3 linked regions of the Lepisosteus oculatus genome follow. The protein of the gene in region 1 purifies or fractionates together with the protein of each later gene. This does not show direct contact. Links are inferred from orthologs where the notes say so. Each region holds a gene or a part of one and is shown on either strand. Other genes may lie near its edges. The genes, in order: sumo1, mitfa and hypoxia-inducible factor 1-alpha.

Region 1 (6,950 bases):
AAAACTACCATGTAGGCCTTAACTGCATTTTTTTACAGGTTTCCTTTTTTTGTTTGAGTACTGGTTGTCAACGGCTCTCACAGAACATAACTGTAAAAGTTAGGGGTGAACTAACTAAGGATATGACAATATCTGTGTATTAAACTAACAGAATAAAAACAGTTTCTCACAAAAACCTTTTTTGTATGTTCACGTACAAGCACAGGAAGCAATAAAACCAAAAACTTTTCGCATCAGGAGACGCGAAGAACCACATACATGGAAGTGCAGGACTGTTTGGGATACCACTAAATTCTTAAATTGAACCCCAAAAAACATCGTACCTGCCAGTGCTTCTGTGGTGTCCTGGAATTTTTCAAAGTGTTTGAGTTTCACTCTGGCAAAAGAAAGATTAAATTCAGATCAAACAATCAGAAAAAAAGAACTGACTTAAGCGTATTCAAAACACTTGATAAAATAACACATATCCAGAGCAGACTGTTTAATCTGTACAGGAATTGTCACCAGCCTAACACAGTACTCTGTCAATCAGATTAAATAAAATGACTTGTTTTATACAATTCTGTCCAAAGTATGCATACTGTAGGTTTTCCACTTAAATAAAAGCTTAGTCTAGTTTCTGGGAAGTTGAAGATTTATACAGAAGGGTTGATTTCAATCCTAGAGGTTGGTAACATACCTACAAGGTAAAAGAAAAGCCTTTAAACGTTTAAAAAAACCACAAAATGAAAATGTATTTACATTTTATTTGCTCTTTCTGGAGTCTGGAATTCTTCCCACAATTTGTCCACCTCCTGGAGTTTTTTCTCATTGAGAACCTGAAAAAAAAGTTTAAGGGGTTAGAAACACTAAAAAGAGTCGCCTGTCGACTCACTATGGATTAACTCATTTTTAAACAGATCTTGGGCTACACTGCTTATCCTTACCGGTTGTCTTATTCGACATTTTCTTATTAAACGATTTTGACTTCGACCATTCCATCAAGACAGATATATCAACTCCCACTCCCACTGAGCGTTCAATAAAGTTCCCCAATGTAGCTGCACCTATTCCCCGTCAAGCCAACAGAACGAACGTCTCTTTACCTGCTTTGTAACATTTTGTGTAAATGCAGAACTACATTTTCCCTCATACTTTTCACCCTGGAATTAACGTCTTTTTCTTGTTGCATCAGCAAAGTTTAACAAGAAAAAAACACAACGTGAAATCGTGCCCTGCGTTAGAGATCATATTGAGATCAAACACGCCGAGCCAAAAGTTGTTCCAATGCAATACACCTCTAACCATCTAACGATACTTTTCTGAAACTGTTTAGCGTTTCGCTAAATATATATATAAAAAGTGGACGATCGTTTCTTTCATGCGCCCAGAATTCTGAAACCTTTCAAAAAAAGGTTTATTAGCTGCGATTTTCAGATTCTCTCTCTACTCGTCTCAGCAGGCTGTTTTCATTCCGATTTCTGCAAGATCGAGCAATCAGATTTGGAAAGCATGAAAGTTAAAAGTCCTCGACCTAATGCCAAGTTACATGTAACCCATGTGGCCAGTCTGCACGCAACGTGGTAGCAGAGAGCGACGGGCCCGCACTCCAAACTTCTTCCCCTACACCTTTTCGTAGACAATTTCGCACACCAAGATCACCGCGTACCACCATTCATGCCCAGATCATTTTAATTTCCCTTAAAACACTTTTATTTGAATGAACATATCGGCAACGCGGGCAAAAAGGACACGCACACGGTAGCACAAGATGGTCCCTTTGCTCTCCTTAGTTCAAATTACTGAAGCCCCCACCCATTTATTTTTCCTTACCTTAAAAATTGCATAGCCAGCGGCGGTCTCGAACAGCACCAACATCTTCGATCATCTAAGGACGTTTTCCAGCCTCTAAACGTGGATTTTTCCTTTACTTAGGATCGGCACGCTCCTCCACCACGGGCTTCTGCAGAGACCCTCCACGCGGTGTAGGATCCCGAGACTGCGCACTCCAGGCGCCTGCGCGCGGGGGCGGAGCCGCACACCGGAAACGGAAGGGCTGTGTTAGGAACCGGAGACGAGACCCAGGAGGCACGCTCGAGTGTTTCCGAACCTTTCCGAGTCTTTCCGAAGGCCCATTGAGTGTTTTAAAATGGTTTCAATGTAATGGGTGCTCATCAAGAAAGATCCGACAATACACTTTTGCCTGTCTCGCCTCGCACCTTTTTGCTTATCAGATACAAAAAACCCGTGAATATATCACAAATAATCACAAATAAATTTGACATTGGATGGACGGACATTGTGCTTTGGCTATCCAGTCAAAGCGTTTTGATGGCATACTTATTTCGAAAATACGTCACACGCGGTTGTGTTATATCAAGCCTTCAGCTCACGCAAAAAATGTCAGTTGCATTAGACAAGGACGTTTATTTAAGGGAATAAATAAAAGAAGAACTTTTAGTCTTCTGATGCTGAATGTTTTTTGTATAATGATAAGAAAGAGACACTCACGGCTCTAAGTCTTGACACTGTACAAGTGTATTCATTTATACTATTAATTTACTACATTGGCATTGATCAACAGTTCTTATTTTAAAGTTCTTATACAGACATACTGTATTTAAGGGATGCACTTTGGTGCAGTGGTTAGCAGTCTCACAGTGCTGGGGTTCAATTCCTGGGCTGCTATCTCTGTGCTCAGTTCTACCTCTGGGTGCTCTTCTTTCCTCCTACAGTTCAAAGACATACTGTTAGGTTAAATGGCTTCTGGGAAGATTGACCCTGGTGTGTCTGTCTGCCCTGTGGTTGACTGGTGTAATGGATGGATGATTTTTCCCATAGGAAAACAAGACCCGGCCTATAATAAACACCAGTCCTTAAGAGAACACGGTATTCAGCATTGGTCATCACAGTCTCAGGTAGAACATTTACAGTATGAGCTGAAGAAAGCAGATTTCAGGCACAGATCACACAACCAAAAGACGTTCGATATGAGAACCTTAGGATGAGACGTAAAACCGAGTTCCTGACTCTCTGTGGTCATTAAATATGCCAGGGCGTTTCTCGAAAAGAGTAGGGGGTGTAACCCCAGCGTCCTGGCCAAATTTCCCATTGGCCCTTACCAATCATGGCCTCCTAATAATCCCCATCTATGAATTGGCTTCATCACTCTGCTCTCCTCCCCACTGAGAGCTGATGTGTGGTGAGTGTACTGGTGCCCTATGGCTGCCATCGCATCATCCAGGTGGATGCTGCACATTGGTGGTGGTGGTAACTTGTGTAATGTATTAATATAATATTAGACTACTGAACGTATATAGTAGATACTATATTGGTTCTACTAGATACTATATTGGTAAGTACTATTGTAGCTCTACAGTATAGTATTTCAGTACACCTCGCAGTGTATACCATAATATTTCACTCTAATATTTAACCATATCACAAATATATATATATAAAGTCCATACTATAGTAATGTTACAGCACATACTGTACATTAGTTAAGAATTTCCCAAATTATAGATGTTATAAAATATAAATTATATTATCATTCAAATAAACAAAATGTTATTTTAGTTGTTATATTAATCTATAGACTCATACTACACGTCCATCCTATAGTAAAGTGCTGTAATTTTCCAAACATGTTTTATATTGTCTTCTAAGCTTTCACGAATAGGGCATGAGCTAACTTTATAAAACAGAGCTCTTCAAAGAATATATGCGTCCTCATTATTTTCACTGGGATGAATCTTAATCAGACCCGGTACCTTTGCCAACGTGGGTCTCCCTGTAAGCAGGATGTACGAAGAGGACCATCCGAAAAGCACATTTTAAAAACAAAATTGTTTTCTCTTTGGCTACACGACCAAATGACGTCACTTCCCGAGGAAGTCCCTCCCCGATTCCAATGAGGTCAGTGTCTGTGTTTTTGTGGGGGGATTGTAGGAAAGAGAAGAGCGCTTAATACTAAATAACATCATCATAAAATATCAAAGATTTAGTTGTAAGAGTCACAGGGAAAAACAGAAGCAAGCATGTCTGATACGGTAAGTCTGTGATCTGTGTATAGGAACTAAACATCTATATTAGCTGATCAGACTCGGTGTTTTCGGGCGCATAGCGTGCGTGTACTGTGAATCAAGATACAGCCTGAATAATAAATAATTATATTTTACTTTTATGAAAAAAATACAGTATATTAACCAGTAATGGAATGGGCGTTTAAAACTTTGTCAGAAACTAACGGGTCTGTTCAAGAGGAGTTGAGATATCTGCAATTTACAGCGCCGATGTGCTTAGGGGTACTGTTCTTGATGTCTCAGAATTTAAACGAAATAATCTTTAAAAAAATCGAGAGTGGGGAAGGCTGGGTTGTCTTTCGGTACAGTGCATGCATTTGTTTTGCCGAAAAATTAACAAATGTGTAGGGATTGTTTTTTAGGACTCTTCGGTATTCAGTGAAAAGCGATCGTGGCCCACTGGTACTGTCGGGAGTGAAACTGAAAATAAATGGATTGTTGTAGTTCGGAGTTGAAATGAAGGTTTTTGTTACTTAAGTGAAGTTAATTTCCTTCCGAAGCTGAACAGTAGATTTTGTTCTTCGCAACGTAATAAAAGGGCAGGAAAGCACATCGAGTCCTTAAAATAGGTGTCGAGACACAAGTAACTGCTTAAGGAGTTGTATTTAACATAAGCGGTAGTACAGTGATGGATGATAGTAGTTTGAACATTTTTATGTTTTCATATTTTTATGATTGTCTTTTAAGATGAGAAAAAGGGCACTAAAACCACCATATTGCTTGATATAATAGATACAATAAACGTATGTCTGTTGGCCTCTACAACTCTGGGATTTGTAGAAAGCAGCAGAAATGGCTTCCTACTTGCCTTTGCATATATTTGCCTCTGCCTTCCTTACATGAGTAGAGCCTGCAGTTATGGTGAACTTGGGCCATGAGAGTGTTGTGTTGTATGGTCCCATAGGACCGCAGTTCAGCAAAAGGTCTGCATCTCTATACGATTCTTGCTTTTGAGCTTCAGAAAGAGTTAACTCAATTAAAGAGATCAAGTGGAAAGGATCTTAAAGAAGGCTGCAATCCATCACCCCAGATCTGATAGATGCTTTAATGGCAAGACACTGGGATAATGAGTGGGGGAAAAAAAGGAATTATTTCTGAAGTTTGTGTGGACACAAAGACGAGGCCTACAGTGTAAAGTTGAGCCTGTCTGTTAAGATTATTGGCAATTCTGTCATGGATTGGCTCGACACAAATGTGCCGCGAGTCAAGAATTAACTAGTAAAACATACATGTGATATTATAGCTTCACACATTAAGACAGGGAACCCCAAAAAAACGCAAAAGCCCAAAACCCCATATGTTTGTTGGTTGTTTTGCCAGCCGCAGTGCTTATATTTAAGTTGCTGACTTCCAAACACACAAGTAGAGGGATGTAGAAGCCGAACTGATATCCTATAGCCACCTCAAAATCCAGCAGTGGTAGTAAAATAATTTGTTTGCCACATTGTCACGACAACAGCTCTTCGAAGGTTTAGAACTCCCTTAAACGGGTAGATAACAAAGAAACCCTTTGGCGCAGCCCTTAAACTTGCAGGGATTTGACGAAAAAGCGTGTTTGTAGCGCCGCGAAAAAACAGTGAGGTAACTATCAATGAATGTAGTTTCTCTGATCAGAGATTTGGGTGCAGCGCCGGGGCCGTGGGTTAAATTCCTGGAGCTGGGGTGCTGTCTGTGTGGAGTTTGCATGTCCTCCCTATGTGTACGTGGGTTTCCTCTGGTTGCTCTTACAGTCCACGAACGTACCCGCAGTTTAATTGGCCCGAGGGGCGAGTGTGTGTGTGCCCTGCGATGGATAGGCATGCTTTCCTGGGTGAACCCTGACTTGTTAGCCTGTTGTTAGTCCTGATTGGCTCCAGCTCCCCTGTGACCCTGTATCGGATAAAGTGGTTACGAACTGGATGGAGGATCAGAGATTTCAGGTACATTAGGACCTCACTGCAAATTCTTTCTTTGTTTTATGCTCTTTTAAATACTGAGTTAAGTGTTGTATAGCGCCGAATGAGACACTTTCTGTATCGGCCTCTCTGTGTGCATCTGTGAGCTCAGCGCTGTTTATTCAGAAGACAAAAACAGAGATGGAACCAAATATAATCTTAACTGTACAAAGCAGTTGTTATGGATACCACCTATTACACGAATTGTTTCCTGGAATGGGTTTTCGAAGAATTTTACGGTTAATCTTGTAGAACTTTAACCATCACGGGCATAATATTGTAGGGGCAGCTGTTTTCAAAGATCCATACAAACCAAGGATGGGAACAGAGCTTTGTTCTTTTTGACAATATACAGGAGACACAGGCCCAGACAAACTGGAGAATTCTAAACGCAGGTCTGCTCTTTACAGAGGCAGTGTACAACTTACGTACACTTCCTGTATGTTTTCATTAAAGCAATTTTCATTTGTATCCTTCATTATTCATTTTTTTTCCATCCTAGGTATGCTGTGTAAATACTTTGTTTCTGTTTTGACCACTTTGCGTTACAAGCCGATGCTGCTGTTGTGTTACAGATCGATTGCGGGATGTGCAGTTGAAATGAGATTGTTCTGCTGATATCTGAGACTTACATTTAAAAATAATAATAATTGCTTACATTTATATAGCACTTTTCTGGACATTCCACTCAAAGCGCTTTACAGGAAATGGGGACTCCCCTCCACCACCACCAATGTGCAGCCCCACCTGGATGATGCGACGGCAGCCATAGTGCACCAGAACGCTCACCACACATCAGCTATCAGTGGGGAGGAGAGCAGAGTAATGAAGCCAATTCATAGATGGGGATTATTAGGAGGCCATGAGTGGTAAGGGCCAATGGGAAATTTGGCCAGGACACCGGGGTTACACACCTACTCTTCTCAAGAAACGCCCTGGGATTTTTAATTAT
Region 2 (7,680 bases), on another chromosome or scaffold:
GCTCTTAGCTGGTATTCGCACTCTAAAAAAAAGGCATGGCTATCGAGACACAGAAGTTTAAAATTAAAAGATGAATCCAAAAGTATTACCAGCATTCTGACCACAAGAAATTAGATTAAATCATTTGAATTAAAAAATGAATCAATTATCAATTCCAAGAACTCTAGTCATGTATGCCGGTGTATTTTTCCTGCACAGAGATGCAATATTCCAGTGCTGCTGTTATGTTATTCACTCTCTCATAGCCTGCTCTGTATTGATAGTTTGCTGGCTTTCCAAAGCCTGGTCTCTCATGGTTTTCAACTATTCTTCTCAGTAAAAGGGTGAAAGGTTACCTCTAGAACAAGGCCCTGACTCAGCTGGCTTTACATTGTTCAGCTGGAAGGAGAAAATGCTTTGGTTGCAACAAGAGCTCAATGCTTCACCTGTCCCAGCCTCTGCTATGAGGATGACAGAAAGCACTATGTATTTGTACAGAGTACAGATTTTTGGAAGCAGCATTTCTTTTTACATGTATCCTGTATTACTTCTAATATTAGGAGGTACATATCCCTAATAAGGTACTGCAGTGACTCTGAAATTACAAATACAACCATTTTTTTGCTTTGTTTTTCCTGTTACTTTTGAAATGTCCCCTAATTACTTGAAAAATGGGAATAGTTTTCTTTTAATGCCTATAGTTTTAATGACAATAAACAGAAAACAGAATTTTGAAAGCAAGTGGAACCGAACCAGAAAATTGCTTTAAAATAGTGTTTCACTTTTTCAAATTATGAAAAACTTTCAAAGGGCTTTTTTTTTGTAGCTCTAGGAAATGATTTAAGTCACTTGTAAGTCATGACATTTGTAAATGTATACTGTATGTAAACTATAAAGTGCAGTAATTAACTTTGAACTATTAAGTAATTAAACTGTAGTTATCTGTCAGCACAAGCATAAGTTAGGAGATATTGCAGAACTTTAGTATTACAATTAAGGTACTTTGCATTTTCAGAAAGAAGCTGTTACTTGAACAGAAAGCAAGACTATTAACTATACTGTACATGGCATAACTATGGATGAATCCTTTTTACTAGAATCTCTTAAGGCAGGTCAACCAGTCTTCAGTTATTTAGAGCACTTCACCTGTATATCGTTTACAAAATAATCCATCCATCTACTTAGATCTTTATCCAGTACAGGATGGCAGAAGACTTGGAGCCTCTCCAGACAAGCATCACAGGGTACACACAGATGCAGACACAGACACGCACACACTTGCACCAGGGCCTATTTTCTTAGAAGCTAATTAACCAACCAGTATGTTTTTGGACTGTGGGAGGAAACTGGAGCACCTGTAGTAAACCCATTTGAACATGGCGAGAACATACAAACTCCCTGCAGAAAGCAGTCCAGGAATTGAACCCAAGGCTGTAAGGCAGCCATGCTAACCAGTGCACCACTGTGCCGTGTTTAATTTCTAAAACAAATAAATATGACGGCTTGTTAAACAAAGTTACCACCCATTTCAGACAACAGTGCAACACTGAATTCTGACACAAAATATTGACTTTAGTTCCGTTAAGCAGAAGAGTAGAATATCTTATGAAACAAAGGACTGAATCCAATGTACAGTAAATAGGAAATATTTTCCTATTCTCACAATACGTTTTGAATGCCTGTACACGGATAGAAGGAATACTTTATTTGAAAAACTAAATAAAACGGTCAGAAAAATATTTAAATCAATTTACATTTTAATTGATTTTATCTATTTAAATGAACCTATCTTTTAAAAAAATCATTGTACCCTTATCTTCTGAAGTGCGATGTTAAAGACTAAAACAAAAACCATCCAAAACACGTCAGCACTCTCAAGTTTCCGACGTGCTCCTTAACGTATGCAATTCAAACTGTCAGGACATTCACCGTACTTACGGTAAAATGAATGTATTATTTTAGATAATTACTAACGAAGACATGGATTCATTAAAATGTCTACCTACAGCAGTTTAACCTATGTCCAAACAAAGAACGATCCCTAACTGCAAAGTCTCTGTTACATAACACGTCATATTAATCTGCAAAATTCTAGGGGAAATTTGCTCTGATGAATTATGATACTCTGTGTTCTTTCGTTTTCCACCGTATTGTTTCTTAAAGCTGCAGACTGATGCATACATTATAGCTCTTTGTTTTCCTTTCTTTAGTTGTTACTTCCTAATTTAAGGATCAATTCCTAATAGCTACTTCTTACTGACAAGACACAAGAAGTATAGAGCATTATTAAATCAATAAATGGATCCACGCTTAACGGTTTCTAGTTATCCCATTTTTGAAGTAAAAATGACTTATCATTAAATATCATTAAATATCTCTACAAGAAATCTAAAAAGCATAATTAAATCTTTAAAGCTTTATCATAACTTAAAATTAACAATATTTATAGAAGATACTGAGGAAGACAATACCCCAAATTAAAGCTTATATCTGTGTAAAAGAAACCCATAGAAAACCGATAGCAAACAAAACCCTCCCAGAAAACTCATGTAGACTGGAAGTAATATGATGACATAGTACTTAGAATATTATCTGTGTGGCAAAAAACGCAGTTAACATATGGAACACATTCATATGGGATTTTTCGGGATATGCAAAATAAGAAAAATACGAACAGTTATAAAAAATTAATGAATACTGCACTGTTACAAATACCGTATCGTCATAATTTTTATTATCATTGTTTTTAGGAGTTTTCGACTCAGGCAATTCCCTGCAAACTGCAAATGAGCTAGTTAACATCACATTACGCACTAACCTGTTTTTCAAAGGCTGGCTTTTCAGCTCGTAATACGTTTTAGGTTCTTCGTGAAATTCTTCACCGACATCGAAATCTGGTACTATCCCCGATTCTGACTGCATTGTGTCCGCTGTCAATGTCACGTTTTAACAAATACAGATGTTAAAAGAAAACGCAATAATGTTATCAGTGTCAAACGCACAGTGCCAGCCGCTGCGGTGGCAAACTGTCACTGTCCTCCCTACGCTTGATGGCGCTAGAATTTGTAGGACATGTAGTTTTTCTGAGTGTCGAATGAAGCATAATCGAATTGGAAGCCACGCTCTTAAGAACTACAAGTCCCAGGCGGCAAAGCTGCAGCGTTGGTCGCCAGCGTATGGTGTTTTCATAGTATGTCAATGTCAGCAGCTTTTCATTGGTCGCAGTAGCTATTGGAATTTCACCGTCTTCATTCCTTGGCCGCGTTCAGACCTTTGGGAAAAGACGTTCTGCAAGTGGAAATTGCTGTGTAATTGTTTATAGCCCCCTATGGAGCATTAGCTCCGGGTAATAAGGGTACAGCTCTTCAGAATCTGAAGTATCGACTGACGATTCTTCTGCGTTCATAAACTACACAGTATCAGTGATGGTGCCAAACGTGCGCATGCAGCCTTTTTTGTGATTCAGATAATTTCGTTGTCAACCCGAACTGTTACTCGGGTACTGTTACGGTAATTAACCCTTGTTGTCTGAGGCTGTCTAATATCGTGTTAGCAAAGATTTTAGCATTTTGCATTAATTCTACCATTTGGCAAATTCAGAAACCCTGCCATGCTATATGTGCTGAAAGTGACAACCCGTGAAACGGTGAAAATCGTCATCGTCATCATAATCGTTCTTATTGGGCTGTTTGTGTGCTTGGACTACCATTAAAGTTCAGTGAAACAGAACTTTCACATTCCAGTTTAAGTAGATTTATTTTCAGTCCTCTGAATCCACTGCTCGAAGTGGGTCATGACCGCAAAACTGCGACTATCCAAAGCTTTAAGAAGTTCTTTATCTTCACAAATAATTATCATCTAATTACTTCATATTATTTTCAGACACATTTCATTTAAAAAAGGTTTCGTGATTATAGGATTGTTACTTATTTCGTTGTGTAGCTGCTGGCGGTGATAATTTTCCAAGTGCAGCAGGAGAAAACAGTATAACCACGTAAATATTACGAATGTAATAATTGAAAAAATAAAAAATAGGATATTTTACAGAAGTTAAAAACTTCAAAAGATAATTGAAATCAAGCAGAATATACTGTACGATTCTCTGGAATAGCTTTCCTTAATGGACTTACTAGTATGATTTAAGTGAGGTCGTACTTTACTTGCATTGAATAAGCAAAGTATAGCTGTCCTGAATGCTTCTGTTTATCCAATATATTATAGCCAAGGGGGAAAGGTAAATGTTAAATCTAAATGTAAATACCTGAAAATGTATTTAACATAACGTGAATTGCTATACTCAAAACCCTGCCGCCTACTGGTTTGACACGAAAACCAACTTCGATCTTTATGGGTTCTCTTCGGGTCAGATCGTGTAATATTCTATCCCTGCCAGAGGGTGGCATTACAACGCTTCTAAAAGGACTTCGACCTTTACAACCGCAAAACTAGTTATGGAGTGTTTTATATCGGCATGAGAAGAAATTAATTATTGGACTTTTATACAATACACAATTTGGGTAGAGGGTCAGCATTAATTTATCAAGTGCGAAAAATAAAGTCGTTCTAACACTTTTGTTTAATAAGATGTTTTTTCGGGACAAGAAAGAGCATGGTGAAATGTGATCCATAAATATAAGAAATATTACTAATTAAAAGGATGAACTTCTTTTATTGAGAAGGTTAAATCCAAGATATAAAAAAATATTTTTAAATATCGTGTAGGCAGACATTTTATAGTAAAACGGGGATTATTTGGTGTTTTGTGAGGTGTTATAGCTCATACAATATTGCATGTTGTTCTCATCCTTCAGTAGATAAATGTTTTTACTGTGGGCATCGAGCCACCTTCAATTCCCATCTTCAATTTCTTTCTGTGGAAACGCTGCCTAAGCGTTGGAGCTTAACCAGGATGTTAAACAGAGTCAGTGTTTATTTTCAGATTAAGTGTGTTACACCAAGCCTCCAGCAGTCTTTTCACTAATTCCATTTATGCAGCTGAGCCCTTGCCTGGAATGCTTTGTCTACATGTCCATCTACAGTAGTCTAGTCCTTGACCAGTCTTTGGTCAGTTGTGTTGATTACTTAGCACATAAAACATCTTTTTGGATTGTACACAAGAAACTAATTGCTGCATGCTCCATAGTTATGGTTATTTTAGTGTGTGCAGTATCTCATAGGCTTCTTGTTATTGTTGTTAATAAACCTTTGAGTTCTTCTGCGTAGTTCTGAGTTCTGGGTTGTTCCTGAGTTCATGTTCAATTGTACCATTTTAACAAGGTCATGAAAAACTGAATGTGAAGGTAAAGAAATGTAGATTTCTTTATCCAAAGAGTTTAACAGGGAAATTTTAATTTCTCATTCTTCTCCGGTGTTCTGCTCTGTTAACGAGTATGTGCTAACATGTGTTCCACAAAAGAGTGAGTTTGCTGAACATTATCCCAACAGCTCACAGCCTTTGTAAGCTGTAATTAACTCTGCTGTCAATACAACAGCACAATGCGTGAAGGTGAATAGCTATCATTCAGAACAAAATGTATTGACAAACCACAAGCTTGTCATTACACAGCTTGTATGCTGAGTTGAACTGTTTTGAATTGAAAATGAACATCAGAAAGGATTTATTATGAAGCGGTTACATTTTAAGAAATACTCAGTTGTTTGAAGTGCATATGAAAGGTTACAAATAAGAGATGGTCTGTCAGTACAACTTGCTTGTTTGGGTGCTAGAAGTTTAATATTCTGTCTATCTATAAGATGTGCATATACAGTATATTGTTTCATTAGATACATATAATTAGCAATTTTATACATTTTTCACTTTTATACACTTTTTGGGTGAGACAAATTCACATAATAGTGATGCAGCTACAATCAATCAGGAGTTCAATTAAAAAGATATTTACTGTATGTTTTGCCATACTCAATAAAACACTTCTTTCTTTCAATTAAACCAATGGAAAACTCTGCAGAGTGTGCACCTTGAATATGGCCAATATTTAATTTTTTTAATTGCACACAATTCAAATCTGACTCTCAGAGAGTCTGATTAACTCTGGCTGATGTCCACTTTGATTCTGCAGTCCAATGTCTTTTGACATGACTGTGCAGTCCAGCCAGGCTAGAAACTCAGATTCAGAGCTCATAGACTTTCTACTGGGCTCTAAAGAGGCCATAAAGAGTAAAAAAAATCCATGGTGCCACCTTCAATCACATGACATGGGAGCTGGTTCCAGACTCCCATAATTCTTTGTTACCTGTTTTAAGTCTTAAAATGACCTTAAAAATAATTTCTGTTCACGTTCTTGGTCCTCGTGTTGCCACCTCTTTGTGTGAAGTGTATTGTATTGTTGGTTGTTTCTGTTTTTACACCAAGACACCATATTACACTCCTTGTACTTGGCAAATAAAATGTTTCTAATTCTGCTGGTGCCCAGTGATGACTTAGTCAATAGCATTCAGGAATTTGAAGACCTTGTTAAAGTTTACAGAATCCTCTCTGTTCAAATCCAAAAAGATTCAATTAATACAGTCCTTTGATTAAGCCAGGTCCAACTTTATTGTTGTAAATCTTTATACAATGTATTTCCAGCACATCAACCTCATTGTGTGATGTAATAAAGCATTAAGTGTTTCAATTAAATGTAAATTTAAATCAACAAAGACCAAGAAAAGAAGTGGAAAAAATTATTAGTGTTGCATGGGTTACATTTAATGTGTAATCTTGAACAAATTCTAAATTATCTTTATGCAATCTGTAAAATTACACCAGATGGATTCTTACAACATCCATCCATGTATTTTCTAACCTCTTCTTCCAATTCAGGGTTATCCCGGCAAGTAACAGGTGCAAGGCAGGGAACACACTGGACGTTTACAGTGTAATAGAGAGGAAAGTGTTCTGGTTAAGTTGACAATGCATCATGTCACTGCTGACTTACAAGAACCGGAAACTGTTGTCTACAGGGTCAGTCTATCTCAGACCTAATATACATCGGGAAATGTGCCGATTTAAAGTTAAAGGACTCCAGTAGTGTTTTTTAATTCACTCTTTTTTACCTAATTCCAAACAAGCTTGAGAAAGTCCCTGGAATATTGGTTAGCTTGGCTCTTCTCAGCTCCTGAAGCTTTAGTACAGAGAAACAAAACAATAGGTCCATACACCAAACCCAGGGGTACAGAGCTGATTTGGAAATCATAATCTGTAAAAGAAGGATACTGGGATTTGTAGGCTTGACTCCAATATAAGCAGTCAGAGCATGCTGCTAGGGGTGACCAGTGCTTGCATTGAAAATGCTTTACAATAGAGCTCAGGGGTCTTGCTTTGACTTTTCCACAGCCAAGTGAAGCCCAAGAAATCTCTTATGAAGTTTGTAAAAGCACCCCAGTGAGCCATTTGTAATCAGAAGTGATAAGAGAAGAAAAATTAAGGCATCTCCAGTATGCATGTATCATGCGTGTAGTCACCTCAGCTGGACCCTTTCTCTTTATTTATTGGTGTTAAGTCCTGTTGGTGTTATTGGTGTTAAGTTTTTTCTCATTAGCAGTGTTTTTCTGGGTCCTGAGACCTTAACGATATTCGTCCAATATTTTAAGAAAATGAATAAAACTTCAGTTTTCAAATAAACTAAACTTGTTTTTCACCAGGTATGATAAAGAAGACACCCTCTAATAATTGTCTAAGCATTGTAAAGTCAATTTCAC
Region 3 (7,526 bases), on another chromosome or scaffold:
AAATACTATATTATAAACATGAACTTCAGAACACAAGGTAACACACATTTGAGAAATCAGATATAAATTAGTTATATACTATAGTAAAACAAATACTGTATTAAGTGAAGTCATGATGTCTTATAACTTATTTCTTCTTGCTATCAGCAAGAAGCCATAGTTTCTTTGAACCCGATAGGAAAACAAACTGGTTCTTGGTTGGGTTTGTTTTTACCACATTTCTCAGGTGAATAGGTGCAAGGGATTCCCAACCAGAATTTAAGACAAAGCCAAAGGAAGGGTTCTTAACCAGGCCAATGTGAAGTGGTGGACCAAGGCTTCAGCTGGAGCACTGCGTCAGCCCTGTACACACGGCGGACTCAACACCCTTTGATGGGAAGGGTCTTGGGAAAATGGACTGAACACAAGAGACGCCTACGCATCTGCAGAATGGTTCCAGATGGTGCTGCTCATGACAAAGTACTCTCAAGAATTAGAAACATGACTGATAGTGGGTTAGTGAGTCGAAAGCTAGGGAAAATCTGAGGAGAATCAAGCCAATGCTGCATTTCCATTTTTGGTATCTGTACACTGCATGTAGGCCTACTTAATGTTGCAATGGACAAGAATATTTTCAGGCAAATGTAAGAAGTTGTTCTACATGATGTTCTGCCAGAGGTTATGAATTTTCAGACAAAAGTCTGGGAACTGTAGCTCTTGTGTCCCTGTAACTATAGTCCTTGTTGCTCATAAAGACTTTTAAGTCAGAGAATTTCATTTTCTGCTCTATGTTGTTCCATTAATTTTGTCATCAATAAACTATTGTTTTTCCAAAGCCAGAAGCTGATAAAACCCCTGATCTGTTAATACTACATGCATATATCATGATATCAGGGTTTGATGCACTGCGGAAATACAAGCTCTTTTGCCAGTGTCTCTAACAAGTTTTTTTCCTAGTGGCAGCATAAACACTCAATACCTTCACTTTCTTACTACTTTATTGGGACATCAGCACAAACTGTACAAACACCACACTGTTCCGTGAAACTTATGCAATATCCAAAACACTCACTCGCCTATTTCCGTCTGAGATTACTACTACGCCTGCCTGGAATAAAATCTTTGGTTTCAAAATATGAGGCAAGGTAAAAAAACGAGCCGTTTTCATCGCCTGCTCGAAATTTAGCTCGTTGCTATCAAGAAAGAACTAAGTATTTCCATGATAGATATTGCTCCATGCAGTCAGCTGTTGTAACTTACTCGGGAAAGTTTGGGAATAAGATTTACTTGCCCCGACAGAAAACAGTTACCAGTTTTCCATCTTGCCATTAAAAACAAAACTCAAAACTCTTATTTCCCACCTAAACCGCTTTGTTACAAGCTGGAAGGGTGACCAAACCGAGCCTCTTGGCTATATTTGTGACGCAAAGACACTTGCCTCTTATCTATACGCTAAGAGCAGAAGTGACAATTTCTTTCTCAGAAACACCAGTCTTTTTTTCAAGCCTTGTTACCAGCAACGCTCACCACCTATCAAGCATTGAAGCATTGAAGCAAAAAAAAAACAAACGCACTGTTCATTTTTTTGGGCTCATTTCTTTAGGCTCTTTTTTTTTGGAATGGCAATATGACAACCCCTCTTCCTACAGGGAAGAATGTCTAAAAATATCTCGTTTCAAAACAACAAAAGGTCTTACAACATCTTCATAAAACCGTCTACCTGTACACAACACCTTCTTTGTTGTTGTTGCCCTACTCATCCCCCATCGCTGGCAAAACAAGAGATGGAAAGAGATCATTATCGGGAAGTAACTGCGCTGTAAGGTCCGACTTGCCAGCCCGCTCTCCACTCACTCCGGGCCACCATGAAGAACTGGCCGAGAGAGCTCCTCAAGCCGGCACACGAAAGAGGAGGGTTCCCATTTTCAATCACAACACTAATAACATGGTTGTTTCCAAAATCCTGGGCTCCATATCCCCGAGGGACCCCCGAAAACCCACACACGCAGTGAACTCCGCGAGTGCCAAGACAGCCCCAAAGCCTGATCGCGCACGGATTCGCGAAAGGTGTAAAAGACCCGACGAAAATTGGTTCATTTCCCCGGGGCTGGCGTGGGGAACACGTCCCGAAGACCCTGGGCTCAAACCACCAAAGCCTCCATTCATCTCTTCAGCCGGTCGCCTTTCCCCCATCGACCCAGCGCCCATGCAGTATTAATAAGCATCGCCCGCACAGCAAATCATCTGACATTCTTATCGAGTTCCCAAGCGACGTCTGTCTCACTTTTATTTCTGATTCTTCGGGAAACCGGCGGCTGAAATGCAGCACAACGTCAAGGGGCCAGGCAACTACTTAGCGCACAACTTCGGGATTTCCTTCCTGCAACGATCTCCCCTCCGTGTTTGAGGAGGACGAGGGGGGCTACAAACCGCGCCTCGCCTCACAGGCAGCCCCCGGCTGCAGGAAAACGAGATATATCAAACAAGTGTCCCGAATCAATCAAAGTGTCCCCCCCTCTCCTTAACGAAATCACACCAGAACTGTCCTGCGCGGCCATACCAAACACTCAGACAAAATGGCGACGTGGCCACGGCCAAGAAATGATTCATACGACAAAATACACACACAAAAATGGGGAGCAAATTCTCCACAGCACATGAAAACAGCGGGGACGGAGCCAGGGGCCAGTTTAAACGACACAACCCCCCTCCCGTGAACAACAAGAAAGCTCAAACTCACCTCTTTTTTTCTGTGACTACGACCGTGTCCATTATCGCATGAAAGACGTCAGCTAGGATCTCCCAAACAGTAAGAGTTCCCCCAGGCCCGAGAGTGAAAAGACGGTTTATAATCCAACAGGAAGACGAAACGAACCAAGGTGCCCTGACTTTAAGAACTATTTTTGACGTGTGTGGTAGCAAGAGGTCAAACCTCCAGGTGCCTGAAGGTCACAACATCTGTTTCGAGCCGGTGTGTGCGATTCGTTCAGGAGAAACGGTCCAAGCTCTCCGCCGCGTCCGAGATGCTCCTTACACTGTAGTTTGTACTCGCTCCTTCTCGGGGGCGCGCAGTCACATGCCTCCAGGACGGGGCCGCGCACGCCCCGGCCGAGCCTCCCGGAGATCAAAATTCAGGTAAAATGCGTGCGCGTTCCCCGAAACAGAAATGTGGCAGGGGACGTCGCTGGTTGCGTCAGGCCGAAGTGATTCCGTGGTTTGATTTAAAGATGAAGATGATTAACCCTTCGGTAAACGTATATATATATACACATTGGCAACAGTTAAAAGATGTTATTAACCTGTTGATAAAATGACATTATTTCATAACATTTGAACGTCTTGTAGGCAAATGCCGTACACACCTTTTGTCATTTCTTAATATTTTAAACGTCATATTTTTAAAATGTTTTTTTTTTAAGTACAGATACTGGTCGGAAAAAAGCAGTTCATTCAGACCTGAAGCCCATAAAAAACAATTTAAGTCGCATTCATAACACTAAAACATTCTAATAAATCTGCTTAATAAATATACCTTTGAGGGTGAAATAACTGTACTATTATATTATATCGAAGTCTGATAAAATATTAAAGTCAGGATGTCACCTGCAGTCTGACCGGCATCTTGTTTTTGTTTTGATTTTGTAGTTTTTGGCTGTTTTACTCTTTGAATTGAGTGCATGCTTGAGATTAAAATTGCCCTCAGGAATGCTCGGGAATATAGTGTTCGGGAATTAAATTACATTGCATCGCATTAAATCTGCTGGGGTCCTGACAATTAATGTTACATTAGGTTAGGAGTATATGAAGCCAAAGACAGATACTCTAAGATTACTTTGCCTTAAAACGTGTTCTACCGACATGACCGACAAATGCAAAAGTCTGCGGCAAGTAACAATTGAAAACAATGCTTGGAATTATGAGACAGGTTAAAGTAACAACGCTTCCAAAATTAAAACATAGTGAGTAGGAAGTAATAAATGAATACAGGTACAAAACATAGTAGGAAGTAATAAATGAATACAGGTACATTTAACCCCCCTGCTCTCACACACACAGACACAAGTATTATGAATGAAGAGGCCATGTGACTGCCGCTATCAGTCTTTTTGGGCTCCCTAATTAGCTTTGTTTGAAATCTCCTTACGGGTTTAGCTGCCAGTCAGCGTCAGTGAGCGGTGTGTCGTGTATGCAGCTTGTGGAATTTGGTTAGCCTTAGACCTGCCCTGCTGAGGACAGAGCATGGAGCACGAGGCCTGCCCGGCAGACTAGCTCCATTTGTGACACAGGTCCCCAAACACATTCATAAAGGATAAGATTAGATCACTTTATTGGCCATATACAATTTCTTACATTAGGAATTTGTCCTTTCACATACCTCAGCTTGCTCTCCATGAGACACACAGGTGGGGAGAGAGAAGCTTGGAGTCAGAGCACAGGGGCAGCCATTTATACAGCACCCCTGGAGCAGCTGGGGTTAAGGGCCTTGCTTAGGGACCCACCGGAGTAGGATTCCTCTGCCAGCCATGGAATTTGAACTAGCAACCTTCCAGCAACAGGAGCAGATCCTTAGCCAGAGGGCCACCACTCTGCCCCATGGTGCCACTAACTCCGCTCACTTCCCTGTCTCTCTTCAGCACGGCGGGGAGCTGCAGTGACTTGGGTGCACGAGGTGACAGAAGTGCTAGTGAGCGGCACGGTGGCTCGGTTTGTATTGCTCCCTTTGAGCGGCTGGGCCCTGGGTTCGATTCCCGGATCTGGGGGTGCTGCTTGCTTGGAGTTTGTATGTTCTCCTGGTTTTGTGTGGGGTCTCACCAGTACTCAGGTCACTCGAAGGGATACTGGCAGGTTAATTGGCTTATGGGAAAAAAGTGGCCCTGATGTGCATTTGTGTCTGTGTGTCTGCCCTGCGATGGACTGGCACCGTCCTGGCCTGTGTCTGAGCTTGCCAGGATAGAGTCATTCTGCTCCACAGCCCTGTGGTGGATGGAGCGTTTAGAAAATGGATGGAGATAGTAGCATTGCCTTTGAAAGAAGGCATTAGGAGATCTATATATACACTGACCTGTTATTTTTAGGTTATATATCCAAATATAAAAATGATAAAATAATTCGCCCAAACCTCTGAGAATACATGCATTTCCCTACAGAAATAATCAAATCTCCTTTCTTCATGGGTCACATTTCATCCAACAGGTTTGATAGTATTTTCCAGACGTTCAGCCTTTCTTCTGTGAAAACAGTCTGACTCTGTGAATGTAATGTTTCCCCTGATAAGCCCAGGTGTATGTAAACCGCCCGCTCATTCTGTTCTGTTTGTTCCGGAAAAACAGCAGCGAAACGGGATTTTTAGGTTGTTTTGTGGAAAGATGAACTCTTAACAATGTGTGAAAGGAATTATATCGCGTGAATATTGTGAGCACTGTCGAATTGATCGCAAACATGCTGGACTACTTCTGTGCAGAGTTCTCAGTACTTGGTATTGTACAAAATATGTGTCTCCTCTACACTTATCTAAATAGACCAAAGTATCTACTCACTTTGATTGCAATTAATTTAAAATAGCAACAGGTGATCTTTAACTTTATGTGTTCATTGAAATCAAGACGAACATAAGCACTCCCCATGGTTTAAAATATCCGCTTCAGTCTGTAATGCAGAGCAGATGGGTGCTAGCCTGTTCACTGCATGGCCTGCGGTAGAATAGGAAGGCAGTGACTTTGAGCCTCTCCTTGCATCTTAAGGAAAGTCTGCCTGTCGTGGAAAGTGAACTCTTCCCTGAGGAGAGGAACGTGTCAGCCGTGCGTGGGACACACTGCGCAGCCTGGCACTTACAGAGCACGGAAAAAATGTGAAGTCCCACATGGACGTTTCTGTGAAGAGAGAGCATTTTTTTTTTATAGAGAGAGGAATCTAAACACGTACGTTATAACTAACTCTGCCAACCACTGCAGTACCTTCTTGGCTCCTCAAGTTGCGCTGGAGCATTCCCAAAGTAAGATCATCAGAATTAGGCACCTTTCATGCAGTTCAGAACAAATAAGCTGTTTGCCAAGTCATTAATATTTCCAGAAAAAAATATATAATCCATGTGGGAGGGGGTGAGAAGGCAGAAAGGTATTGAATTTCTCAGTCCACAGTCTGCCTATTGATTTTCCTCAGGGTCAATAGAGGAATCCGAGCTGTCTGCGTCTCCAGTCTTGTTTGGAGCTGGGCTCTGGGCCAGCGACACCGAGAGCAGCGCAGTCGGGGGGGGGCGGAATCGGTGTTACTCTGCGTGGGGCCGTTCGCTCCCTGCCTGGCTCCCTGTCGATGGCGTCCCTGTCATTCGGGAGCTGCTGGCCCGAAGTGAGCACCTGCATGGAAAACAGCCCCTCTCTGCCCCCCGGTCTGAAGGACACCGCAGCGTGTGGGAGGAGGGGGGGAGTCTCATGAGCATGCATCATCCGAGGCTGGTGAGGCCAGAGTTAGGGGTTAAAATTTAGATCCTGCCACAAGCCCAGCTATTACTCAGCACAGGCAAAGTTGAGGTGGAAAAAAAAAGGAGTCTAAAAATGCTTTTGGGTTTTCAAACGTTCCAGTGCTCACTGCTAAAAACAGAGGTCAGAAAGTAGTGCTTCCAATGGTTCTATGAAAAGTCCCCTTGAGAGGCCTGGTTTCTTTGTTTTAAAGTCCCTTTCACTAACTGCCAAGTGAAGTGATAGGATTACTGGCAATAGTTTGGATTTCTCAACACGTTATCATCTGAGCCAAACTCTCTGCAACTTTGTGTGGGGAATAAATCATGAATGAATTCCTGCTCTTTCATGTTGTCAAAACAATGCCTGCAAAAGACATCTTATTTATCAAGGGTTGCTCAATTATCAGCTCTCATATCAAGTCCACCCAACAGGAGCAGGAAGTCTGCTGGTGAATACTGGATTTTAAAAGCCCTGAGAGGTATTAAAACGTTAAAACATATTGAAGCTGGTTGGTTTTTTCCAGTGTCCCAGATTTAACATGAAGCCTTTCCTTTCCTTTATGAAAAGTGAGCTTGAAGTTATCGGTCCACTAACTGCTGTTCAGCTCTTAAGCCTGCTCCGCAGAATAGGAAGATTCTGATATTTCAAATCCCCCAAACACCGCTAGCAAATTGCCAGGGCAAAAGAGGATTATCACAAGACTAAAATGTTCCTGTCATTTCATCATTTTGGTCTTAAGTATATTAGCACAATAAAACTCAGACAGAAAAACTGAAGTGAAGGGAATTTACAGTTCTGTACTTGTATGATTCCCTTCCTGTATTTACTGCATGATTTTTCTTGAAGGGACTGTGGCTGAAAAGCCAATAGTCCACTATTGTGTTACCAAAGATATTGCAGAAAAAATGTTGAAATCACACAACCTATTATTATTATTATTATTATTATTATTATTATTTGTAGTAGTAATATTATATGCGAATACAGCTAAACTTCCATATTACCTTAAATATGTTAATTGTGATTTATCATGTAAAGCTGAGTAGACTACAGTACAGTGCGGAAACGCATAAATCAGTATACTGTACT

The links.
Region 2: the proteins of sumo1 (region 1) and mitfa purify together in Homo sapiens (affinity purification with western blotting; 3 studies listed by BioGRID and IntAct, with this or other methods). This does not show direct contact. The link is inferred for Lepisosteus oculatus from reciprocal best matches to the Homo sapiens genes SUMO1 and MITF.
Region 3: the proteins of sumo1 (region 1) and hypoxia-inducible factor 1-alpha purify together in Homo sapiens (co-immunoprecipitation; 3 studies listed by BioGRID and IntAct, with this or other methods). This does not show direct contact. The link is inferred for Lepisosteus oculatus from reciprocal best matches to the Homo sapiens genes SUMO1 and HIF1A.

What each region holds. Positions count from the first base shown.
Region 1 is NC_090707.1:34,433,740-34,440,689, forward strand, and holds the start of sumo1 (small ubiquitin-related modifier 1), read left to right. Parts: upstream 1-3,876; 5' UTR 3,877-4,019; coding exon 4,020-4,031; intron 4,032-6,950. Other genes in the region: nop58 (nucleolar protein 58), read right to left, coding at 324-376, 742-818, 1,813-1,857. UniProt on the Homo sapiens protein: Ubiquitin-like protein that can be covalently attached to proteins as a monomer or a lysine-linked polymer.
Region 2 is NC_090699.1:50,486,841-50,494,520, reverse strand, and holds the start of mitfa (melanocyte inducing transcription factor a), read right to left. Parts: upstream 3,006-7,680; 5' UTR 2,902-3,005; coding exon 2,798-2,901; intron 1-2,797. UniProt on the Homo sapiens protein: Transcription factor that acts as a master regulator of melanocyte survival and differentiation as well as melanosome biogenesis.
Region 3 is NC_090703.1:7,462,144-7,469,669, reverse strand, and holds the start of hypoxia-inducible factor 1-alpha, read right to left. Parts: upstream 3,043-7,526; 5' UTR 2,752-3,042; coding exon 2,720-2,751; intron 1-2,719.